2 linked regions of the Rhinolophus ferrumequinum genome follow. The protein of the gene in region 1 interacts with the protein of each later gene in a pairwise test. Links are inferred from orthologs where the notes say so. Each region holds a gene or a part of one and is shown in the gene's direction. Other genes may lie near its edges.

The links. The genes of interacting proteins can lie anywhere in the genome.
Region 2: the proteins of DISC1 (region 1) and GPRASP2 interact in a two-hybrid assay, tested with the Homo sapiens proteins (2 studies listed by BioGRID and IntAct). The link is inferred for Rhinolophus ferrumequinum from reciprocal best matches to the Homo sapiens genes DISC1 and GPRASP2.

Annotation. Positions count from the first base shown.
Region 1 is NC_046310.1:25,365,183-25,372,604, reverse strand, and holds the start of DISC1 (disrupted in schizophrenia 1 protein), read left to right. Parts: upstream 1-4,405; 5' UTR 4,406-4,602; coding exon 4,603-4,660; intron 4,661-7,422. UniProt on the Homo sapiens protein: Involved in the regulation of multiple aspects of embryonic and adult neurogenesis. Required for neural progenitor proliferation in the ventrical/subventrical zone during embryonic brain development and in the adult dentate gyrus of the hippocampus.
Region 2 is NC_046284.1:52,045,942-52,053,380, reverse strand, and holds the start of GPRASP2 (G-protein coupled receptor-associated sorting protein 2), read left to right. Parts: upstream 1-4,419; 5' UTR 4,420-4,559; intron 4,560-4,897; 5' UTR 4,898-4,983; intron 4,984-5,537; 5' UTR 5,538-5,605; intron 5,606-5,690; 5' UTR 5,691-5,751; intron 5,752-5,952; 5' UTR 5,953-6,012; intron 6,013-6,318; 5' UTR 6,319-6,623; coding exon 6,624-7,439. UniProt on the Homo sapiens protein: May play a role in regulation of a variety of G-protein coupled receptors.

The DNA of each region.
Region 1 (7,422 bases):
TCATCTTCCTAGAGCAGTGGCTCCATGATGCCTGTGGACTCCCCCAGAGTCCCCTGTATCCTCACCAATATTCTTTTCACTTAAATTAAAGTCTACTGGTTTTGTTGAGTTGCAATGAAAAGAGTCCTGATTAATACGGCATTGCGCTGGAATGAGAGCTGTCAGAAAACTAAAGAAAGACTTGTGTAGTAGCCATGCCAGAGATCTGCAATGAGTAGGTCTGTAAGTGGGCGTTCCATTGGAGAAGCAGAACCACTGTGAGTTGTGCATAAGGCACATATTATAGAAGTTAGGCCTTTCACAATTGTGGGAGATGCTGCGGAAGCAAAAGTCTAAAGAGGGTGGTTGAAGAATCTGAGAAAGATCTTTAACCAGAATGACATGGGTGGCTGAGCTGGAGCTGCAGGAAACCTGGAAGCTACGCGTCTCCAGCTGAGAGAGTAGGGCTGTGAAAGGCGCTGGTGTAGAGGTTGTGGAAGGAAGGTTGCTGCCCTGCGGGCGTGCAGTCCAGCATCTGGTGGAGAGCCTGGGTTGTCAGGTGGCGGTCTCAACTTCCAGTTAAATGGAATCATTGTGTGCCTGTTGGTGGAAGCATCCCTCCCTTTGGAACCAATACCTCTAGGCCAGCAGGACATAAAGTTGTGGGAACAGGAAGCAAAACTTTTGCGAGTGGATCATGAGGGCTAAGAGTGAGTGGTCCACTCCCATCTCCATCTCTTGGTTCCTGGACCCCTGAATCCTGGCTATGGGAGAAACAGCACCTTATATTGGACAGTGATTCAGAGCATGTACAGGGAGCCTCCTGCAAGGTATTGCGCCTAGCTGGCACTGTGACTGAGTCCTCAAAAGGCCATTCCATTGTTCTATCAAACCACTTGCTCAGGAAATTAGGGAACATGGTAAGACCAGTGAATTTTGTGAGCATAGGTCCATCACTACACTTCCTTCACTGTGAAGTGAGTTTCTTGATCAGAAACAATGCTGTGTGGATAAGGCATTCCGTAAGTCCATGGATGGTAGTTTTGGCCAAAGCGTTGTGTGTAGAGAGAGAAAATCTGTACTCAGTCATTAGTGTCAGTTCCAGTAAGAACAGAACGCTGCCCTTCCATGATGGAAGTGTTCTCATGGAATCAACCTGCCACCACGCAGCAAACTGGCTGGTCACCCTGGGCAATGGTGCCATGCTGCTGGTCTCAGCTGCTGACAGATTGGACACGCAGCAGTGGCCATAGTCAGGTTGGCCTTGTGAGTGGAATGTGTGTAGCTGAGCCCATGCATCACTCCTGTCCCTGCCACCATGGCCACTTGTTCTTGAGCCCATTGGGCAGTGTCAGGACTGGCTGGGGAAAGAGACTGGTACCCACAGGACAGGTCATCCTTCTGCTTAAAACCCTCCTCTGCTGAGTCACCCCTTGGTGAACATTCACAAGGGACACAAATATCCTCAGGTTGTTTTGCCCAGTCAGAGAGGTCTATCCACACGCCTCTTCCTCAAATCTCCTTGTCACCAGTTTTCCGATCATGTTCCTTTCAAACTCCTGACCATCCAGCCACATTAGCCATAGTCCATGAACTGTCACACACTTGTACCTCTGGCTATTTTTTCTTTCAAGCAAACCAAACAACAAGGTTCACTGCTCCAAGATCTACCCACTGGGAGGGTTCTCCTTTACTACGGTCTTTCAGGGATGTCCCAGAAAGGGGCTGCAGTGCTGTGGCCGTCCACTCTTGGGTGGCGCCTGATTATTGTGCGGGACCATTTGTAAACTGCGCCTGCCTTTTCTCTTCCTCAATCGACTAGTCATAGGGACCTCCCCGTGAGGCCACAGGTGCAGGCTGGGCAAAAGAAGGTGATGTAGCAGGAGTGGAGACCGTGGGCATGTGGGCCACGTCCTTCTGCAACTTACTTGTGACTTCAGGGTCTGCTTGAGCCTGATCTCGTATCTACCGCTTCTATTTGATGATAGAGGGCCACTGCGCATGCCTAAGTTTACCACTTTGGGTCAGGCAGCACCCAGTTCATACTGGGCAGCCCAGGTAGCATGGTAACGTGGTGGTACATGGTTAAAAGTTCATGGCTAACAGTCTCTAAATGAGAGTAGTTATCCACAGAGGCTTTGCTCCAAAATCCTAAGGGCCTGTGATATGATTCACACATACGGGCCTGACAAATCCTCCCTTAGCGTCTCTAGTACCCCTGACACTTCAAGCACCACTGGATCTGCTGGGTCCTCTGCCCCAAAAGGCAGAGCAGCTGGCATGGCAGCCAGACCTGCTGCAGAGCCTTCTCTTATTCTGGGCCCCACTCAACACCAGCAGCTTTTCAGGTCGCTTGGTGAATGGACTTGAGTAGCTCACCCAGGTGAGGAATATGTTGCTACCAAAACCCACGGGGCACCATTAGCCGTTGTTCTTCCTTTTTTTGGTTGTAGGCAGGGCACATACAACAACTTATACTTCACCTTAGAAGGGCTGCCCCACACCACTCAACCACTAGAAAATCCACTGGCATGGAGGCCCCTAAATTCTTGTCAGACTTATTTTCCACCCTCTGACATACAAATGTCTCACCAATCAGCCTAGAGTAGTTATTACTTCGTGCTGACTCCGTCCAATCAGAATAATGTCATTAATGTGACAGACCAGTGTGAAGTCTTGTGGAAGGGAAGGCGATAAGGTCTTGCTTGACTAAATGATGACCTAGGGCTGGAGAGTTGTGGCACCCCGGAGGTAGGATGGTAAAAGTGTATTGCTGGTCTTGCCAGCTGAAAGAAAGCTGCTTTTCTGGTGGCCTAATAGGTAGGGAAAGAAACATTTGCTAGATCAATAGCTGCACACCAGGTATGAGGGGAGGTGTTCATTTGCTCACACAGTGAAACCACATCTGGAGTAGCACTTGCAATCTGGTTAAGTTGATGACAACCCACTGTCATTCTCCAGGAATCATGTGTGTCCTGCACAGGCCACACAGACAAGTTGAGCGGGGATGTAGTGGGGATCACCACCCTGCGTCCTCCACGTCCTTGACGGTGGCACCAGTCTCTTCAGTCCCTCTTGGAATGTAGGATTTCTTTTGGTTGAGTCTTTTCCTAGGTGAAGGCAGTTGTAACGGCTTCACTTTGTCTTTCTCACCACAATAGCCCCTACTCCACAGGTCAGGGGACCAATTTGGGGATTCTGCCAGTTGCTCAGTACTATCCAATTATGCACTCTGGAATGGGGAAGTAACCACAGGATGGGTGCAGGGACCCCCTGTGAGACGAACCTGAGCTCAAACTCCTGTGAACACCTGACCTCCATAAGGCCCGACTGACTGGTGGGCCACAGGGATGTTTTGGGTCTCCTGGAATTAGTGTCAGTTCAGAGCCAATGTCTGGTAATTCTTGAAAAGTCTGAGTAATTCCTTTTTCTCCAATGCACAGCCACCCTGGTAAAAGGCCACAACCCTTTGGGGAAGGCTAGAGAAGAGATTAACAGTGTAAATTTTTGGCAGTGTCTTTCCTCAAGGAGGCCAACATTTCCATTAATTAATTTTTGGTCTGTAAACTGACTCTAGTCTGGGAACTGATTGAAGGGCCGAATCTCTCTGTGTGGGAATTCAAGTCAGGCTTTCATTCACTTGACCTAGAACTTTTCTGCTTACACAGACTAAGTACGAGCTAGTAGATTTCCCAGCTGTTTGACTTCTAGGAGCAGCATAGACTGGCTTGCCAACTTGGCCGGTCTGCAGGAGTCACCAATCTGATGGCTGCTTTGACTCTGCCATCCATTACAGACACCATGTCCCCCTTGCCTTTGGTGATTCATTGCCACCATTTGGCCCCTGCCATCCTGGAACCAATTATCCCCACTGCATTTAAGGATTCCAGTTCAGAGGCCACAGTTTCCACTGTAATTTCTGACCTACAGAGAAGAGTGACCAAGGGTGCTGGGCCACAAGTTATTTCTCAGAGTCCTGGTGAAGGGTGTGTGGTCCGCACCCTCCTGGAGTGGGTAAGCAGTCTTACTTACATGATAACCCCTCTAACATTCCAACTCCCCAGGCCTCTGACACTTCCTCTACAGCATACCACGGCAGTGCTGGCATTGCCACTTCATGTGGTAGGTCACCTCTTGCTCCAGGTTTCAGTCAACTACCCATCTTGTAAAAACCAGTCCCTCTCGTCCCCTCCTCTCTTCCGTCCACCCTTTGGTCACTTCCCTAATCTCGCATCTGGGAGGCGCCCTGTACACCCACCCGGAAGGCCTCCCGTCGCTCCTTCCCTGGACACCGGTTCCCCCACCGCACTTCCCCTCTGGTCGTCGTCCAGAAATGAGCCGGAGTGAACAGCAAACTTGCAGCGTCCGGAGACAGGCTGTGGGCCCACCGGCCCCGCCCCAGGCGCGCGCGTGTGTGCGCGCGTGCGTGCGTGTGTGCGCGCCCGTGTGAAAGGAAAGGAGGCTGGAAACGGAGCCGCAGGGCCAGCGGGGGAGGGGGACGCCGCCGGCCCGCGCGCCCGCCCCCTCCCCACTTCCCGTCCCTCCCGGCGCTCGCGCCCCGGCGCTGGCCTCGGGCGCACAGAGCCGCCCGCCGCCGCGGAGCTGGAGGATCCGGCGGGACACATGCGGGCCGGGGGACCCCAGGGCGCCCCGGCGGGTGGCGGCGGGGGCCACCGCGCAGGTAGGTCGCTGTCAGCGCGGCTGGGCGGGGCCGGGGTCCGGGATCCGGGCGGGGAGGGCGCGCGCCGCCCCCTGGAAACCGTGTAGGTCTGAGCTGTGCCTCTGTTAGCACCTTGGCTTCGGTGCACCCCTTTCGAGGAGAGGGAAACTGAGGCAGGGCACGTGGCGCGCGGAGTTGGGAGAGAAGGGGGGTCTGGGACGACCAGCCCACGCCGAACTGAGCCAGGTGGGTGCTGAGACCCTGGCGAGAGGCACGTCCGACACGCCCCCGTGGCGGGTACTGGTGGGCAAGGAAGGCGGCAGGGGCGTGCGGGAATTTGGATCAGACCCGGGACCCCGCGCCGCCCGAGCCTCCCGGGGCCGTGCGCCCTCACCGTCCACCCGAGGGGCAGGGCCCGTCCGGCTCGCCCTCGGCCCCAGACCCACTTCTGACTCGGCGACGGTAACCCGCACCGGGCGCAGGAGACAGGGCCGGGTCACGCTGTCAACTTTGCGTTGACACTGAGGCCAGTAAGGGGATGGTTGCTTTTCAAGAATGACGGGACGTCTCCTACCATCTCACCGTTAACACGTATGCAAAGGAACCTGAGACTTGCGGCAGACAATGAGATTTGGCGTCCCGAGCGCTCCTCTGCTGTCCTTGCTAGGTAACTTCAGACACATCCCTTAGCCGCTCCCTTATCCCTTATCCTCGGTTTCCTGAGACGTGTGAGAACACGGGTGACCCTGTCCCATAGGTCTGGTGTGTATGGAAGCACTTTGCAGAATGTATGGCCATTTGGAAAATGGGATTTGGATAATACTAGAGCCCTAAGATGATTGGGGTTTGGGGACAGTCAGCCTGCATCTCAATCCTGGATGTAGTCGTGCCTCAGTTTCCCCATTTGTAAAATGGGGACAATGACAGTTCCTACCACATAGAGTTGTTGTGTGTTTTAAATGTGTCTGGATGTGACACATTAGTCAAGTGCCTGAGAGAAAGGGTAAGTTCTAAGTAACCTTAGTTACTATTTTTACTAAGCCAAATCTAAATAATTTGGGATGATACGGAAATACCAGTTTGATTTGATGAAAGTATGATTAGCAGAGTGTTTTAAAAGAAATTTCATTTTATTCCATTCAGGCATAGCACAGGAAGTCCTTTGAGGTTCAGTTGAGAAATCTGTCACTGAGTGAAAAGATGCCTGGATTGGCTTTCTGAGCTCTGTGACCTTGAGCCTCAGTTTCCTCATCTGTTTACAAAGAAGATAAAAGAAAAATGGGGAGAGTAATTACGGCTTTTGGTACTGATAGAGCTGCCTAGGATCCGGTGAGGTTAGAGGTGTGAAAGCACCCTGAAGTGAGTCACTGCTTCCAGGAGGGAATGTTAACATTGGCAAGTTTGCAGAGTTTACAAGGTGCTAGGGAATTCCTTGGATGACACCCTCCCCAAACCTTTGTGAGATAGGGATTTATAATCCTCATTCCCCATCCCCCAAAGCTGAGATTCAGGATTACTGCTTCCCGGCACCCCCTCCCCGCCCCCCAGGTCACCTAACGATTAAGGATAGAGTCAGGAGTTCTGGCAGGTGTGGCATCAAGTGCATTTCCCAAGTGCAGCTGCTGACAACTATATGCCACGTACCTTGTTTCATGGTGCTTCACTTTATTGCGCTTCACAGGGTGGCCGATTTTTACTAACTGAAAGCAAGACCTTCAGAGTCTGGCCTGCTTATTTTACAGGTGTGAAAAGTGAGGGATACAGCAGGAGACCGCGTATTAGAGTCTGAGTCCTCTTACTTGGAGCTGCTTCCATCAAGCCACGCTTTATTCCATAGTCCTGCGTAATTCATCCTGCTTAAGAAACATGAGGTGAATGGAACCAAATCCTTTCGATTTATTTTCTTGAGCCATCATGGCTCTTAAAAACTTAAAATTTCAAGCAGTTCCTTTTGTCTGTCCATTCGTTCATTGACTGTTCATTTGTTCAGCATTTATAGAGTACCTCCTTGGCTCTAATTAGAATTAGAGCCACACACTGGTACTGTATCAATTTTTGAGTTAACTTAGAGGGAAACTTGCTAAAAAAAAAGTTGTTGAACAGGCCGCCTAGAAAGGCAGTGAGCTTTTTGCCATTGGAAACATTTGAGTTAGTGTTGGGTGACACTGTGGGGAATTTAGTGGGGGGTCTGCCCGTGGGGAGGGGCTGCATGGGCCGACATGTGGGAACCCTTCCAGCTGCGGTATTCTGTGACGTGTGTCCTGGAGATTGGGATTGTCCCGGATTTGAGCTACTGTGTACATTTCCTCCCACTGCTCTTTGGGGTTTCCCATTTTGCCTCCTCCCCTAACCCAGGTGGTTCCATTTCTAGAGGTCCAGACAGCTCCCTGCAGTCAGCTGCCTGAATGCGGTAGGTGCTTTAACTCCCCTGGGTTCTACATATCTAGGGTTGATATTAATCACGAACATGATCAAGTTCATTCAGGAGAACAAATTGACCAGGAATAGAAATGTTCATTTTGACAGGTGGCCCTGCATGGAGGCTAATTACTTTCACAGGTTGAAAGGTGACATATCAAGTTTTGTGAGTGAATTGTGTTCGGAATGTGGGATCTGAGTTTAAATTTAGTTTTGAGACATGCACAGCAACCTAACTTTTCTTTTTCATACCTGTTGTCTCTGAATTTGTGAGTGGATTGATAATATGATTTGGCATAATTATTAGGTGTTATTTTTGACACTGGAGAGTATGTGTCTTGCATTTGTAAATTAAAGGATGCCTC
Region 2 (7,439 bases), on another chromosome or scaffold:
CCAATGGCATTTTTTAAAGAAATAGAACAAAAAATCATCAGATTTGTTTGGAACCACAAAAGACCCCGAATAGCCAAAGCAATCTTAAGAAAAAAGAACAATGCTGGAGGTATCACACTCCCTGACTTTAGCTTGTACTACAGGGCAACAGTAATCAAAACAGCATGGTATTGGCAGGAAAACAGACACATAGATAGACCAATGGAATAGAATTGAGAATGCAGAAAAAAACCACATAAATATGGACAGAGAATTTTTGACAAGGAAGCTAAAAACATACAATAGAGGAAAGACAGCCTCTTCAATAAATGGTGCTGGGAGAATTGGAAAGCCACGTGCAAAAGAACGAAACTAGACTGCTATCTGTCACAATGTACCAAAACTAATTCAAAATGGATCAAATACTTAAGCATAAGTCTTGACACAATAAACTGCATAGAAGAAAACATAGGTACTAAACTTATGGACCTTTGGGTTCAAAGAGCATTTTATGAATTTGACTCCAAAGTCAAGGGAAGTAAAAGCTGAAACAAGTGAATGGGACTATATGAAACTTAAAAGCTTCTGCACAGCAAAGAAACCATCAACAAAATAAAGAGGCAACCAACTGAATGGGAGATTTTTTCAAACAGTGCCTCTGATAAGGGGCTAATATCCAAAATATACAAGGAGCTCATGAAACTCAACAACAAAAAAACAAACAACCCAATTGAAAAATGGGTAGACGACCTGAAGAGACATTTCTCCAAAGAGGACATACAAATGGCAAATAGACATATGAAGAAATGCTCAACATCACTAATCATCAGAGAAATGCAAATAAAAACCACAATGAGATATCACCTCACCCCAGTCAGAATGGCTATCATCAACAAGAAAAATAGTAACAAGTGTTGGAGAGGCCGTGGAGAAAAAGGAACCCTCATACACTGTTGGTGGGAATGCAAACTGGTGCAGCCGCTATGGAAGGCAGTGTGGAGGTTCCTCAAAAAATTACGAATAGAATTACCATATGACCCAGCAATCCCTCTACTGGGTATCTACCAAAAGAATCTGAAAACATTTATGCATAAAGACACGTGTGCTCCAGTGTTCATTGCAGCTTTATTTACGGTGGCCAAGATATGGAAACAATCAAAATGTCCTTCAATAGATGAATGGATAAAGAAGTTGTGGTATATATACACAATAGAATAGTATTCGGCGGTAAGAAAAGATGAAATAGGACCATTTGTGACAACATGGATGGACCTTGAGGTTATAATGCTAAGCGAAATAAGTCAGATTGAAAAAGCAGAGAACCATATGATTTCAGTGATATATGGTATATAAACCAAAAACAACAAAAGAACAAGACAAACAAATGAGAAACAAAAACTCATAGACACAGACAATAGTTTAGTGGTTATCAGTTGGTGAGGGCGGGGGTGGTGGATGAAGGTAAAGGGGATCAAATATATGGTGATAGAAGGAGAACTGAACCTGGGTGGTGAACACACAATGTGATTTATAGATGATGTAATACATAATTGTATACCTGAAATCTATGTAACTTTACTAAACTTTAATTAAAAAAAAAAAGATGCCGTGTGACCTTGGATAACTCCTGTAACTTCTAGCACCCTTGTTGTCATTTGTTAAATCATATATATATATATAAAATTACATAAATATATATATATATATATATATGTTTTTTGTCCCTTAGGTTTTATGAGGAGGAATAAGTTAATTTATGCAAAGTACTTGGCACAGTGCCCAGAATATTATAAAATTCATGGTATATAGCACTCAAATATTAGCTATTATTGTTATTTATAGAAATCTTTTAACATTTCCTAAGATGCCAGTCCTCATATGGTTTTTGGATACATCTTACTTTTTAAAACACTTTAGGGTCCTTTTCTTCCCTTGTTTTATTTCCTACCCAGTGTTGCCTATGGACTTCATATTGGTTAACAACAGTTGACTTTGGCATTAAAAAGAGGCGATTAATGAGGGTTGGAGGTTCGTAAAAGAGGTAAAGTGAACCGTAAAAGTTATTGCCTTTTTGTGGTTATTGATTATGATGTTTTCTCTTTATTATCTGGGAAAAACGCTTTTCTTGGATTTCCTAATTTACAATTTTATATGCTCTTGAAAAACTCAAAAGCAAACTTAAAGAAAAGTTGTACAGCATAATACTGAACATTTAGTAGATGCTGACAAAAAAAAAACCCTGTTGGTTTGATTGGCTGTTTTTATTTTCTGTATTAGAGTTAACTTTTTTAACCTTATTCAACTATACTGTTTCTCTACCTTCCAATTCAATAATCTGGCCTGATTTTTTCTTTTTGACTTGTTTCCATTTTGTTACCTTAAAATTCAGAGTTTAGCCAGTCTGGTATCTTGTTATCTTTCCTGTATGTTGGTAAACTTTGTACCCACAGAGATGCCTATTTAAAAAGCATCCAAGTTAATTTGGGTAACTGTATTTTTATATATTCTTTCCATTGTATTAATCCTACCAGTTCCCCAAGCCTCTGAAAAACCTACTTTTCTGAGCTGATGTTCTTTAATTTTTATACTTCTTTCCTGAAAGATGCTGTCTTCTGGTTTTCTATGACCAGTTTCCATCCACCTTTAGGTTTTTATTTTGTTCCTGCATTTCTCTTCCTAAGGAAGACCTGAACCAAGAAATACATTAATCGTATAGCATTCTTCCCTTTTTTTATATTAGGAAATTGTTCTTGGCATTCTCAAATCTCGGCACTTTAGATTTTTAAACTAAATCACGGTCTGAAACCACTCACTGTACCAAAATCAAAAAGACTCCAGTAGCATTTCATCTTTGATCTAGAGGTAAGGATGGATGACATGAATGATACCTCTTATATATTTTTTCTTTTAACCTAGTATCTGACCGCCCTTTCGTTTTTATTTTCTTATTTTTGATTAGGTAACATCCTGTGGTTCTAATTTTAAACGTTTAAAAGATCCTCTCCTTTTACTAACAATTGTCACCCCAATAAATTTAAAAAATAATTAAAAAAAAAGATTCTCTCCTTCCCACTCTTTTTCCCAGTCACCTTACTTCCCTAGAATCAACTTTAGTATCCTAAAGTTGTATCAGTTTTAGTATCCTTCCAGAGAAATTTTACACATAAAATTCTCACCTTTTTACACAAATGTTACCGTAACATATTTATTACTTTGTACCATTCTTTTTTATTTAGAAATATGCTTTTGTGATTTTACCATGTCAGTTCATGAAGATATTTCTAATTCCTAAAAAAAAATACAAAAACAAAAAAACAAACCCCACCAGGGCTGTCTTGGGGAAGTGTGTGCATGATGCAGCTTTCTCCAAGGAATGACTGGGCAAACTGGATAGGTGCTTACGGCAAGTGGCCGAGACCTAAAATGCTTCTAATCCCTGCCACATTTCCACAGTGCCAAAAATCATGAGAGCTTGGATGGGATTGTAAGACAAGACTTGATAGAACAGAGGAAGAGGAACCCGGAGCGACCCTATCTGATGCCTGACACTTACTTGGATGTGAGGCCACACACAGGGAGAATTCTATGACCCGGTGCGGGTCCAGACAGGGAAAGGCCCTCTTTCTAGGGCACTGTGGGGACCACAAAATGGCAACACGTGTTACTATTTCGAATGTGAAAAAAAGCAGTGTGGCAGCAAGGATGAATCTGGGTACAGAGCAGTGGATTCTCTCCTAGGGTTAGAGGTCTAGGTCTGCCTTTAGAAGAGGGGCAGTGGTGAGGCCTCCATGGCAGACCCCACCACTTCCTGTCCTCCCTGACCCCCCAAACAATGAAAGAACTTGGGGGGGCACCTCAGGACTTCAGGGTCGGTCTAGCTTTAGATGGCCTCTCCCCATCCGGGCAGCATTCTCACAGCCCCTCTCCCAGCAGCGTCCAGAAGTGAGACGGCAGGAGGGAGGTGGGTAGAACCCAGCACTCTGGGGGTTCATATACACCTAGGGGCGCTTTGTATCCACACGCAGCGAAGCTGCTCCTGACCTAGCGAACATGCTCCCCCACCCCCGCCCGCGCTGCCCGTAGATTGTAGAACCGGAAATGTTGTAGGGGGTACCCGGCAGGGGGCCGCGGAGGTCCTTAGAGCCCGATTGGCGGGCGTTAATTCGCCCCATGCGCTGGGGCTCTTCCCGGCCCCGCCCCCTCCGGGTCGGAACTGCGGGGCGTCTGGCAGGGGAGGGGTCGTCGAGCCCATTCGTCCGGTCTCCCTCCGCCCCGCTTTCCCTACACCCCCAGCCAGCGGTTCGTGCCGCATCCTGCGCACCCCCTGCCGTGTTTGGTGCAGCGGAGCGAAGGGCGGGACGCCTCTTTGCAATTTGATGCGCGCGCAAGGCGGTGGGACTCCGAGGAGGTCCGAGAGGAGGGGAGGCCGGCCACCCGGGCCCCGAGCCTGGAAAGGCAAGTGGGGGTGCATGGGGCGGGGTGGGTCCACACTCTCGACCAGCTTACACCCGCGCCCAGTCCCAGGCAGCCCAGCGAAGAGGCGGAGGCGGCTACAGGGTCGAAGCCGGTTCCTGAGAGAGGTGCGCAACGCCGGGGAGCCCTGCGCTGAGGTTGCGGCGGCGACGGGTGCGGGCCGGACCCAGGGTCCAGGGCCCAGGGGTGGCCTCAGATGCTCCCTGGGCTCCTGGGGGAAGCTATCCACGCCGGCCTCTCCACAGCCAGCTTTCCCGGAGATGGCTGTGGGGGAGGCTGGTGCGGGAGAAATGGTGGAGCCGGAGCAGAGATGGGGGCGCCGGGGCGGGGGCGTTGGCTATTCCGGGCCCTGATTCTGGAAAGGGTCTGTTGGGCCCCGCGTCCTGGGGGCTGTCCCTTCCCACAGGCGCCTCTTTGGTGCCAAAGTCTCCCGTCTGCGTGGTAGGTTGGCGATTTCAGGTGGCGGGGTGCATCTGCTGCGGAGCTGCTTGAGAAAAAGTTGGAGCAGGAAAATAGCCTGGATTTCTGGAGGTGTGTGGGGATGGGGGGTGGGCAGCCGCCATTGACTGGAGACACGAATTGGGGTTGGGTGACTATGACCAGAGCGGGTTAGGCATCCAGGAATAAATCCTAAAATTTCCCTCCGTACCAGTTCCTAGGCACTTCCCTTGGCTTCCTCCCTTACCTCCATCCCTAACTGGGGGTAGGAAAAGATGGGATCGGAGGCGAGGGTGAGACGGAAGTCACAGTTACAAGTACCACTGCACAACCTGTTTTCTATAATATGCAGGCTCCCTTCCCCCATTTTATGCTGCCCAAGGCAAAGGGATGTGGTGCACCTAGTGGTGAATCCTCAGAATTGGAATACGGCAGCAATGAGAAGACTGACGTCAAGAAAAGATGTCGTTATCTGGAACCCTGAAACAGAGGGCCTTAGTAAAACGAGAACGTTCTACCTAGAAGACCTTAAATGTTGAAAGACAGATCACATGTGGACTCCCATCATTGGTGTTGGTCTGTCCACCAAGTGCTCAGTTGTTACCATGGTCTTCTGACTGTCTTTCTTTTCATCCGTTTGTCCCTAGGCTTACTTTAAGACTGGTCACTTCTGCAAGGAAGGAAAGGAGGAAGAGACTGGCTCAATTCTCTGGAGGTTGGTGTGAAGGGGGAAATGCAGGGGATAGCGACAGAGTAAGATCATGGCAGGTCTTTGATTCACCTCTCCTGCTCTCTGCCAGATTTGCACACTGTCCCAGCATTCCTTGTCCATTTCCTGCAGGAGATATTACGAATATTGGGGTAGGTGCGAATTGGGCTGTGAATCGGAGGAGAAGACCTGAGATCAGGGACCAGGAGACAGGAAACGTTAGACAAATTGGACCCTTAAACAGAAAGAGAGATATTTGCATCAGGGGTCAGGGTGTCTGCCTGTCAACCAAACCCTCAGACTCCATTTTTTCCTGTGCGTTTGCTTGTCCATGGAACACCCTTCTGCTCTAGGGTGTAATTGGTACCCCTGGAATGAAGCACGGAGTGGGAAATTGCACCACATCAGAGAAGGTTGGTATGAGATGGGTAAACTTCGGGTCGGATAGTGGAGACCAGTGCAGTCACAACAGTAATTAGGGTCTAGTTTCAGGACTCCTCAACCTCTCTCATTGCCAACATACTTTCCCACAAATCTCACACCTGTTTGGTGGCAGGCCAAATAGTGTGGCAGTTGTGGGCAAAATGAATGTGACAGAGAGACTTTCTAATGGCCCAACAGCTCCACCAGGAATTCAAGGTCCAGTCTCTGTGTGAGTCTCTACATGGAGTGACACAGTTCCAAGAGGCTCAAGGCCCCATGTCCTTCTCTCTCCCTAGATCCACCTCCAGTGGCATCTCTGATGGTGCTGGAATTGCTGCTGACCACCACCCTCAACAGGTCTGCACCCACTTGGGAACCATCCATCCTCCCCCTGCTTGGTTGTGCCTCTTTGGCACTCTGTCTGTGATATTGGCTGAGGCTGGTCTTGGGAAGGAGGCTGGTTGGCTGCTGGACTGGTGATTGACTCTCTTCCAATTGTATCGCCTGAATCACTGGAAGATCAGTGTGAAGATACAGAATTGTGGTAGAGGCGGGGACTGTGTTACTGGTATTTAACTGCCTCTTCTCTGTAACTGGTATTATGACTGGGGCTGAGATTGAGCCTGGTGCCCAGGCCAAGGCTGAAAAGAAGGCTAGAGAAGAGGTTGCAGGTGGGGCTGAGAGAGAGAACGAAGTCCCGATGGTGGTCAGACCCAAGGTTAGGACCCAGGCCCAGGTAATGCCTGGGGCAAGGCCCAAAACTGCATCCAAGGCTATGAATGGGGCAACGCCTGAAACGGAGTCCCAGGTGATGGCTGGGTCAGGGCTCCAAACTGATTCCCAAGTAATGGCTGTGGCAAGGTCCAGAAGTGAAGCCCAGAGAATGTCTGGGGCAAGGCCAAAAACAGAGGCCAGGGCAGTAGGTAGGGCATGTTCTAAAACTGAGGCCAAGGCAATCACTGGGCCAAGGCACAAGGAAGAAGCCCAGGCTTGGGCCCAGACTGAGTTTGGGGCTCAGGCAATGTCCCAAACAGAGGGCATGCCCCAGACCAATGCAGAAGCCTGGCCACTGCTCAGTACTGAGTGTGGGTCAGGTGCTAAACCTATGTCCCTATCTGTAGATAGGGAACAGCTCAGGGTGGATGCTGAGATCTTTCCTGGTTCTCAGGGTCAGATGGGAATCCAACCCTGGTTTGGATCAGGGGAGGAAACTGATACTGGGTCTTGGTGCTATCCCAGGCCCAGGGCCAGAGCGGAGGGCTCTAATGAATCTGGATTCTGGTCAGCAGATGAGACCTCTACGATGTCTTCCTTCTGGGCTAGAGAAGAGGCCAGTATCAGATCGTGGCCCAGGGAAGAGTCCAATACCAGGTCCAGGCACAGGGCTAAATATCAGCCTAACACCAGATCTAGGCCG